Xenopus tropicalis: one gene and its partners. The protein of the gene in region 1 purifies or fractionates together with the protein of each later gene. This does not show direct contact. Links are inferred from orthologs where the notes say so. Each region holds a gene or a part of one and is shown on either strand. Other genes may lie near its edges.

What was found.
Region 2: the proteins of dis3l (region 1) and eukaryotic translation initiation factor 4E type 2 purify together in Homo sapiens (affinity purification with mass spectrometry; 3 studies listed by BioGRID and IntAct, with this or other methods). This does not show direct contact. The link is inferred for Xenopus tropicalis from reciprocal best matches to the Homo sapiens genes DIS3L and EIF4E2.
Region 3: the proteins of dis3l (region 1) and hbs1l purify together in Homo sapiens (affinity purification with mass spectrometry; 5 studies listed by BioGRID and IntAct, with this or other methods). This does not show direct contact. The link is inferred for Xenopus tropicalis from reciprocal best matches to the Homo sapiens genes DIS3L and HBS1L.

The regions. Positions count from the first base shown.
Region 1 is NC_030679.2:117,114,418-117,117,917, reverse strand, and holds part of dis3l (DIS3-like exonuclease 1), read right to left. Parts: intron 1,784-3,500; coding exon 1,655-1,783; intron 1,143-1,654; coding exon 1,007-1,142; intron 465-1,006; coding exon 288-464; intron 201-287; coding exon 122-200; intron 1-121. UniProt on the Homo sapiens protein: Catalytic component of the RNA exosome complex which has 3'->5' exoribonuclease activity and participates in a multitude of cellular RNA processing and degradation events.
Region 2 is NC_030681.2:101,897,807-101,901,306, forward strand, and holds part of eukaryotic translation initiation factor 4E type 2, read right to left. Parts: intron 2,701-3,500; coding exon 2,564-2,700; intron 314-2,563; coding exon 274-313; coding exon of another isoform or gene 230-273; 3' UTR 1-229. UniProt on the Homo sapiens protein: Recognizes and binds the 7-methylguanosine-containing mRNA cap during an early step in the initiation. Acts as a repressor of translation initiation.
Region 3 is NC_030681.2:71,584,933-71,588,432, reverse strand, and holds part of hbs1l (HBS1-like protein), read left to right. Parts: intron 1-22; coding exon 23-140; intron 141-863; exon of another isoform or gene 864-956; intron 957-2,128; coding exon 2,129-2,275; exon of another isoform or gene 2,276-2,621; coding exon 2,622-2,696; intron 2,697-3,500. UniProt on the Homo sapiens protein: GTPase component of the Pelota-HBS1L complex, a complex that recognizes stalled ribosomes and triggers the No-Go Decay (NGD) pathway.

The DNA of each region.
Region 1 (3,500 bases):
GTTTCCCTGGCTGTCTCAAAATTTTTTGAGTCTCATAGGAGAAATGCCTTTCACAAAGCAAACTGTAACAGAACATTACTGAGTTAACAGAGCTATAAGCCTTAAAAGGTGCCTGTAATACCTGTTTCTTTTCCTCCTAAGCCCTGAAGTCGTACAAAACCTTCCAACTGAGCTCTGTGCTTGTTTACACTGAGAACACCCTGGAGAAGGCAGAAAGTGGTAGATATGAGTTCCATTGCAGCCTATATGTTCCCACATGGCCTGTAGTATTATTGGAGAACACCCACCTGTTGGTATCTGCCAGATTTAATTCCAGCCTCGAGAATTTCCAGTGGCAGGTGCTCCGGGTATTCTTTGCCGTTACCCTCCCGGCTCTCTAGCTCGCGCTCTCGATGGGTTTCTTTTAGAGATTTATACAGCTCCAGGGCTCCTTTTAAATTGGGCCAGAAAGTCTCCAGGTAAATCTGTATAAAATGCATTAAAGCACTTACCCTGCAGCACTTTATCATGCTAACTCTCCCGTATTCCTACAAATGTTCCTTTTTTTTTTTTTCATATCCATAAATTGATGAATCAAAATCATATTGTTAAATATTGCTGTCCATATAAGTGGCCCGCATATTTGATATCAAATATTTAAATAATAAATGTCATACAAAGAAATCTATAGAGCTTTTTTTTTAAAAAAAACAAAACAAAACCTTTTGGAGGACTGTACTTGGCTTCCAGGCCTTCAGTTAGACAGCACTGTTGTATATAATATTGTACTATAAAATGCATTATTTATCCAAGCGCAATTCTTTAGCTTGGGATGATTTTTCTATTCCTTGTGACATATACCCGACTATTATTATTTTATATAAAATGTTTTTATATATTATTTAAAGAGAGACAAATTTGCGGGGAAAGCTGTTAGAATTTTTATTTTGATAGCAAACATGTTCTCAGTTTGTCCCTTAGCACTTCTTCCTGCCTTTTGGATTAATACAAAATCCCTCACACTGACCTGGAATGAGACCACGTACACCTCTTGGGTCTCGGTGTTGTACTGCCTTATGACAGACTTATCTTCTGTGACCATCACAACAGGGATTTTCTTCTGACAGTGTTGATAGTACCATACACAAGAATTGTAGATGCACCTAAGTAATAGCATTAAAGAGGTTGTTCACCTTTAAATTAACTTTTAGTATGATGTAGATAGTGATATTCTGAGACAGTTTGTAACTGGTCTTCATCTTTTATTTTTTATGATTTTTCAGTTATTTAGTCTTTTGATCAGCAGCTCTCCAGTTAAGTACTTCAGTGGCTATCTGGTTACTAGGGTCTTATTTTCCCTAGCAACTAGACAGTGGTTTGAATAAGAGATTGAAATAAGCATAGAAGATAATCTGAAATAGAATAATAAGTTATAAAAGGTTATAATAACAATACAATTGTAGCCTCACAGAGCAATCGTTTTTGGCTGCTAGAGTTAGTGACCCCCATTTGGGCTGGAGGGGAAGAGGAAGGCAAATAATTAAAAAACTACAAAGAATAAATCATGAAGACCAATTGCAAGGACATTCAAACATCAACCATCCCATTAAGAATGGTGCAGTTAGGTCAGGCTTTGATTCTATAAGGTGGCAGCGTTACAGACAAACTGAAGTACCTTGTTTGCCAGGCCAAAGCAGATTCCCCCATTTCTCTAGGAAGATAGGCATGGTTCTGGAACTCATTGGAAAACAAAATGCAGTCATGACGAGTATCTCTGAGCAGAGAACACAACCTCTTGTATTGCCTGAAACACAGCACAATAAACCTAGCTTAGCCAAAAACAATAGGCCAGATAAAATTAAGATCTTAGAAAGAAAAAACAAACAAAACTGGAAGGAAAATAACCAACCACTACTTACATGGCCATTCATTCTGCAGCTTAATAATCACTTAATGGTTAATGTTTCCTAGAACATTATTTCTTAAGCAGGATGCTCATTACATGATAGTCACATCCTAACAAAATCATTACACAAATCACATTTGTTGGATAGATAAAGTGGACATTTATCATGCCTTTAGATAAAATCCAGTCTGAAGTATAACAACTTCTCCACACCTTACAGCAGGGGTCTCAAACTCGCGGCCCGCGGGCCATTTGCGGCCCTCGGTACAGTATTTTGTGGCCCGCACCAACGCCTTCTCAAAAGCAATGAATGGATTGCGATTCAAGGGATAATGCAAGGCACGGTGGGTGGGAGCTGCTGATTGCGGAAATGACGTTATTCCATCATAACAGTTATTATGGGAAGACATTCTGTGTGCACAATTAGCTGCTAAGGAGCTAATTGTGCACACAGAACGTCTTCCCATAATAACTGTTATGATGGCATAACGTCATTTCCACAATCGGCAGCTCCCGCCGTGCCTTGCATTATCCCTTGAAAGCCAATTTTTTGTGAAATCCCTTATGCGGCCCAGCCTCATCCTGACTTTGCCTCCTGCGGCCCCCAGGTAAATTGAGTTTGAGCCCCCTGCCTTACAGGCAGCATGCAGGAATTGTATAACCCACAATGCATTGCAGGATGTGTGGGGTTTTGAGGATGCAGGCTGAGGACAGTTGACTATTGTTGCAATTTTATTTGAGTCCCCAAGTAGTTAGCCAGATCATCAGGGGAACAGCAGGGCGAGGCTTAGGTAACTTTTCCAATCCATATTATTATTTTAAAAGTTATGAAAAGGCTGCATTCATTGATGTATATTGCTTAAGTTGCTTAAAATTATTTTTTCTTTTCAAAAAGCTTAAGTTGTGTTTGGGTGGAGTTCCCCTTTAAGAATAAAAATTATTAGGAAAACAGCAGGGTCATTTTTCTGAAAGACACAATTGCCACAGAGACACTAGTTGTCCTGACATTAGAATTTGCAGATGCAGCAAATTTTACAGCCAGAAGTGTGTATTGTGTTTGTGGCCCAAAACTGTCCATGTGTATAGCCTATTCAGTCGCTTCTGCTTAGCTCCCTTGCAGCACATAATGAAAACAGTTTGGCAGGAGCATTCCCAGCATTTTTGTGCCAATTATCTTAGTCCAGTGCTGCAACCCCCAGATGTAAGGCCACATCAAAATGCAACCAGTTTCTATAAATAAGGGGGCCCAGCCTTCTACAAACATGCCGTTATTTATTGTGCCATTGCACATAAGCAATGTTTCACACGCAATGGTACAATATACAGCAATCACAGCTTATCTGTAACATGTCCCTTTTAGGTTTATAGAGCCTGAGCAGCACATGACGATGTTTCTAATGCCAGCTAGATATTGCATGCCTTGTGGCCAACTAGCCAGACCACATTAATTGGCAAAGACAATCGCTGGCTACAGATGGCTTTACATGTGAGGTTTTTAGTAATGATAGAAAGCCAGTTCTTAGACAGGGACAATCCACATGAGTTTCCTAGTGTCCAGGTCTAGATGTGCCACATGTCTAGAGATGCCAGAGATATCTGCCAGGCAATGATGATT
Region 2 (3,500 bases), on another chromosome or scaffold:
GATTCCAAAAATAATGTACAATGCTTTTTCCTCCCGTGAGGGATGCAGCTGTAGTGGATAGGTCTTGGAAAGAGGATTGATGTAGATAACAGGCTTAAAAAAAAACAAAAACAACAAAAAGACAGTTCGACCCAATCCCAGCTAGATTTGAAGCTGTATAGAATTTTTCCCAAGAACCGTTGGGCCACCGGCCATAAAGCTACATGGTGGTGCTTAAAACTGAGAATACTCAAACTGAAAGCAGGTCAGCAAAGCAGGAGTAGATCCTTGTGTTCACAAAGCAATTTTGGTATTTCTGAAGCTTGTTTTGTCCCTGCAAATAAAAAAAACAGCCATTAACTCATGCACATGGCAAACAAACCATAGTATGCTGCTTTGTTCAATAACTCTCTAATGTGGGCCTGGCATAGCTAAGGGGGCAGTGCATGGATACATCTCCACTTTATTTGCTGTAAGCAAACATTCAAACACACATAAAATGATCATTTCTGGAAATACTTTCAAAAAAATGGAACACTCATTTCATATGTGTGACTATTTGGAAGAATTGTTTTTAAAAAAGGCCCTACCGCTGGGTGTGGGATGCAGGGAGAGGGGGAGAAATCATTCAGCGGCCGCTGTTGTTCACCAGGCCGTGAAATTCTTCCCAGGCCCTGGGCAACCAGAAATAAGAACAAAAAACAAGAAAAAAAAAAAATAGCACTTTACTTTACTTTAATCTAAAAAATAAGACTAACTGGGACTGATAGACATTTATTAGAAGTAACGGCTTGCTAAACTATAGCTGGAGAATGCACTGAAGGCTAAGGATTTCTTTCGTTTACAGTCCAACAGCCACCTCTCTTGAGTCAAGAGAGAAATACAAAACAAATAAAAAAAGTAGTGCAGTGGGGCTGCTGATCACACCAGGAGCATGTTCTTCTTCAGTGATTGCTGAGAAGAAAATATCACACGGCGTAAGATGCCACTCGCCAACCCCTCTGCTTTTTATAACCAAGTACAGCAAACAAAACTGTAATGGGACTATCCTGTAGTGCAGATCAGGAGTGAGGAGGCTGTCCTCTGGAGGGTGCCTATGGTTTTAGCATGGCTGCAGTTCTCCTTTAACTAATTAATTTTACATTTGGTCCAAAGATTACACAAATGAAGAATTACTTTTCCCTCCAGTGCCAGTAGAGGAAACGTCAACCTTGTGTTGTTCAATGATTTGGAAACTGTTTAAGGCTCCTTGCCCTTTCCCATCTTAAAGATGCCATGTGTGTTTTAGTGTAGCCCACTGTGTGAATCCCTACCCTGGGATCTGAGCAACCCAAGTTTTAGCTATATACCTCAAAGGTATTGGTAGGACAGCTACAGAGCACTCTAGTGGTAATAGCGCACAGAGTTTTGCCACACAAGCTACTTCAAGCTCATTGGTAGCCCACTAGGCATGTGATTAATTTGCAAATGAGCAATGTCACATTCTGAGTGATGATAACCTGAATGGGTGTACCGACCTAAGCTAGAAATGGTGCGGGAAGCAAAATGCACCATTTGTCATTATCCTAAGAACTGACCTTCATAAGCAAGCATCTGTAACCTCTCTTTTAGTAACCTAAGTTTGTAGCCTATCAGGATCCGCTGCAAGACCTCAGGCTAAAGACCTCAGACCTCAGCATTAACAATGATTAAACACATAATATGCAAAAAAACAGTTTTTCTAGTGCAGCTGGATAGGGATACCATATTCAGGTGGGGGTATCTATATTTATAGTAACCTCTAAAAGAGGTACTGTTGTACAGAAGAAACGCTTTTTGCAACATGGGTTGTTCTGCATGACATGAAACTGGCAACCCTAATTTCCCACTGAGCAGAGTACTCTATCCTGCGTGGCTGACTGGTCAGACTTTCTTTATCGGTTATGACTTATCCTGGAACTGGATGTCTTTGAACTTTATTCTGATGACTGGTTAAAAGTGACATAAAATAAGGACAAATTTTTATTATATGCCAGCACCTGGGACCAAAAACATATAAGCAACTTTTAAATCTTTGTATGATGAATCTGACTGATCAAGAATAATGGCAGTTTTAAAAATGAACAGGGAACAATAAACAGCTGATAATTCTAAACTACTCTAACTAGTAACAATGGATTGCTGAAACAATGTAAACATACAATTAGGTTGTAAATGAATTGACAAGCTTTACTTTGTATGCAAACTTTCATACCATGTATCTTTTTCTTGAGAGTTTAAATTTTTTGATTATTTTAACATTATTTAACATTTTACAATTTTGAGCAATCCAGTTCTGAGCCTTTCTCCTATGCTGAAGAAGGAAGCTATACCAAGCAGTCCAGCCGAAGCCTCTTGAGTTGGACGTGGCCCTCAAAGAGTTTCATAAAGTTCCCTGTGTAATTTTTAATATAATCTGGCCCTTGAAACAAACTGAATTTCCCATATATGTAAATTTGGGAAGCAATAAGCTACAGTTATTCTTAATGCATTCCTTAGTATAGTTTAGCCCATCAAAATTGAAATGTATTTTTTCATCATGATTTACAAGCTGAGAACTACATACTTGATGCTGTCTGTGTGCGTTTTGTATTCCATAACAGTGTTGGGAGGCAAATTCAGGACTCGCCGCAATGTGTCTCGAATACGAGCAGTGGTTGCCTGATCACTTGCAGTTTTGTTCCAAATAGATATGATGTCTTCCTGTGCATTCAATATAGAAAACGATTTCTTTTTACTTAATAACCATATCCCTGAATCACAAACATATTAAGAATTAAAACTCTTAGTCTAGATCGAATGTGTTTTAACTGTAAGCATGGGTAAAATGAACAGAGTTGGTAAGATACTACCATAAAGTCTTGATACTTACAAATGACTACATTTTTACTAACTCAAACTTACTGGCTAGGTTAAAGTTAAGGTGAATTTGTTTTTATTAGAGATAAAAACTGCTGTGGTGTTTCCATGACTTTTATTACACAATTCAGGTTTGGTGCAGATGGAGAGACTGGCAGCAGGAGGGGACAAAGTGCACCAGTTCAGCTAGAGAGGGATTTAGTGCTATTGTACATGCCTGGCCATGGTCATTCCTTTGCACATTGATCTGGTTGGCTAACAGTGTTAAATTAAGTACCAGAGAATGGACAGAATCCAAATAAGCAGATATTTGAAGCATTCATACAATATATAGGCTTTTGTATCACTTTAAAAAAAAACAAAAAACAATTATAGTGCGTACAGTTTTTTTTTTTTTTTTGAAAAGCTTGACCACTCTGTTAGGACTTTGCAAAAAGATAAACATCCCCTTTAATTGAAATTCCTAAATGTATTTCTCTTCTTTCCAGTTAAGGACTGATACCTGGTAAATGTGAGAGTGAAACTGGGCACAGGCCTTAAGTAGGCCACAGTCATATTGATAATCTTAATAATAATCTGCCCTTGCTTGAATGATTATGTTGATGTATTTGTTCCGCCTATCTATAACATAGAATTGAAGATTA
Region 3 (3,500 bases), on another chromosome or scaffold:
TACCTTTCCTTTTCCTTTAAAGGGGTGTGACGATGGATGTTGGCATGACCAAGTTTGAAACCAAGTCTAAGGTTATTACATTGATGGATGCTCCCGGACATAAAGACTTCATCCCAAACATGATCACAGGAGCTGCACAAGTATGTTTTATGTATATGATGCACTACAACATTCTTGGTTCTGCAGGAATAGTTATAAACTAATGTTTTAAATGTAACTTTTACACTCTGACTTATTCTGTAAGCCAAAGCTTATATGTTCAGTATAAATGGGCAGCTAACTACCTCTGTAGAAAAGAGGCAGCCAGTAAGTATTGCCATGTGTAATTGTTATCACTTTATGGGTTAGCCTGGCTAGTCAGTTTTTTGTGAATTATCAGACATGGAGTTCCTAGCTGCAGGCAGTGTGTTTAAGATGCACATTAATTGCCACCTCACACTTTTGCCATAGGTAGTGGTTAAAATCTGAATAGAAAACAGCAGCACATTAAAATTAAAAAAGGGTGAAGACACACTGAGCTACTAGTAGCAGCTACTTTTTCACGGCTACTAAACTCCAGCAAATCCCCTGCCATAGACAATACTGAGAATTGCCTCTGCTAAAACACAGAGACGGTTATCAATAAATGATCAGCATTTTCTATTTTAGTAGCCATGACAAGTAGCTGCTGCTAGTAGCTCTCTGTGTCTTCACCCTAAATGAATAATAAATAGTTCCATGAATATGTAGGATCTGCCATTGCCCCGTTGCCCTCCAGGGAGGATGGACCTGTAGTTTAGGAGCCACTGCTGTAGGAGTTGCTGCTGAGGTAGATTAAGGTGTTTTATTGTCTAATCATAACATCACTTTTACCTTCTCCACAGCCATTGTTTCATTGCTTCCAGTGTAAACCAGGTTCCGCAGCATCAGAAGCAACATAGGTTTGGGAACAAGGGGCATCAATTCATATTTGCAAGGCAAGCAGGAAAGCTATTTGCAAGTCCTAATAAAGACTTATATATTCTGCACATAAATAGGAACCATGGAGAGGTAGGACCATTGACCAGGAGGAGAGACCAGTTGTCATGGAGATAAAAGAAAAGTAAATTATAAAGGTCTTGTTCCACATCATATAAAACCACAACTTTTTTCATAATAAGCATTACTATTGTTTGCTATCAATGGAAGGAGATTCCATATCACTCCATAGTTCCCTTTGACTTAAGTACAGATCTTATTTCTTCTAGAAAGTCAGGGTAACTGCAGTCTTAAGTGATATTGTACAAGGTTACAAAATGGCCATAGTCTGTGAAGGAAGTGAGTGAATAGAGCAGGCATTGGTCATTCAAGAGGTTAATATGGACCAGGCAGGTAGAAAGCATAGTTGGGTTAACTTTAACATCCTATTGTTATGCTCCCTCGAAAACCACCTGCTAGTTGAAGCTGTCCTGTGTGTCAGTATACAGTATGTCACAGGATTACAGGGAGAGGCTCACTACTGGTGTCACAGGGCTGCTGAAAATGGATAGTTTTTCTTCCCCAAGATCCCACATGTAATAGGCTTAGCAACATAAATTATTTATTATAACACTAAAATAAAACTAACTATCATGAATCATGATGATATAGCTTTTCTTTAACATACATGTATAGATTGTGGCTATGTACATCACCATTTCACTGTGCAGTGCAATCCCTTTGTCTGCAGTTTTTTAAAGTTGGGGGGCTGTAAACTAGACACATGTTGACTTCTAATTGTATAAACAGCTCTTGATTATTATCATTATGTATTTATAAAACATATTCCACAGCGTTGTACAATAAAAAAAGGAACAATAACCACAAGAGCTACACGAGGTTAGAGGGCCCTGCCTGACGGTGCATCCATATCTAAAGGAGTAGGCTGCATTGTAGACTGAAAATATTAAGTCAATATAGAAAGGCTAATTGTAACATGCTGGGTGATTTATTAACTTCTCTACTCTACAAGGTTTGCTTAACATTTGTTAGAAAATCATCCGTCATGCTAAATCTCTGATGTTTCTTCCACTCCCAAAATAAAGTTTGTCAGTACAAACAATTTGTAGACACTAATATTGCAATTTAGCTCAACACTTTAATGTTATGTTAAATCTTTGCTTCATTGTAGGCAGATGTGGCTGTATTAGCTGTTGATGCTAGCCGAGGAGAGTTTGAAGCAGGCTTTGAAGCTGGAGGGCAAACACGTGAGCATGCCTTATTAGTTAGGTCTCTTGGAGTAACCCAGTTAGCTGTTGCTGTCAATAAAATGGATCAGGTATGTATTTTGCTACAGTTATTTATTCATAGATGCATTTCATAGATGTGCATTTCTATAACATTTGTAAATACCTAGTGACAGTACTTAATTATGGGCATCCTTTAAACCAATTAAACTTCGATTGGCCTTTCAAATGCTTCATTCAGGTCTGTCCTTTTTCTATCCACACAGAAAAACTTTTAAGTTTTAAGAGTGCCATTATTCCTGTTTAGACCACACATTAGCCTATATTAAAGACTATTTCATCATGTATGATTATGTATTTTTTTCGGTTTTCATTTCACTTGTGTAATAGAAAGGACCAGTTTAGTGCAGTTTTTTCTATGTATTTTGTTTTTTACAGGTTAACTGGCAACAAGAGCGATTTAATGAAGTCACCTCTAAACTTGGCCACTTCTTAAAACAAGCTGGTTTTAAGGTAATGTGTTTCACAGACAGTTTGTTGTAGTTTCTGTTCTAATTAAATACTTTCAAAGTATTGTTTTTATTTAATGTTGATATAGCACAGACAAATAAGAATTTGATGGGCTTCTCATTAGTTATGCTAAATGTGAGAGTAGTTTGTTTTATTTTTTTATTTTTTTTTTAGCTACCAGCGTCAAGTTATAACAAAGTGTAAAAACTCTGGGTTTACTAGAGTCACTTACTGCTTTGTACATCCTTTCATGTCTGTGGAATAAAGGTTCCTTAAACCACAATTCCTAGTTCCACAAGACCCTATGCACTTTTTCTGTGTAATAGAACATACAATATCTAGATAGAATTGAACTTAGAACCCCAGTTCTGAGTGCATCACCATCTATTGTACAGGTATGGCATCGCTTATCCAGAAATCTGTTATCCAGAAAGTTCTGAATAGACTCCATTATAAGCAAATCTAATTTTTAAATCTGATTTACTTTTTCTCTGTAATTATAAAACAGTACCTTGTATTTGATCCCAACTAAGTTATCATTAATCCATATTGGGGGCAATACAAGCCGATTGGGTTTAAGTTATGACTTAAGTTATGGAGATCCAAATTATGGAAAGATCCCTTATTCGGAAAACCCTGGGTCCTGAGCATTCTGGATAACAGGTCCCATACCTGCACTAATATGATTGCAACAGGCTAATATTGCAGGATTAATGTAATGTAATGTAACTTACCAGCTTGGGTAATTGCTTTGTTGTTAGTCACTTTTGTAGGTTCAGATTTTATTGATCAATCCAAAACATTACT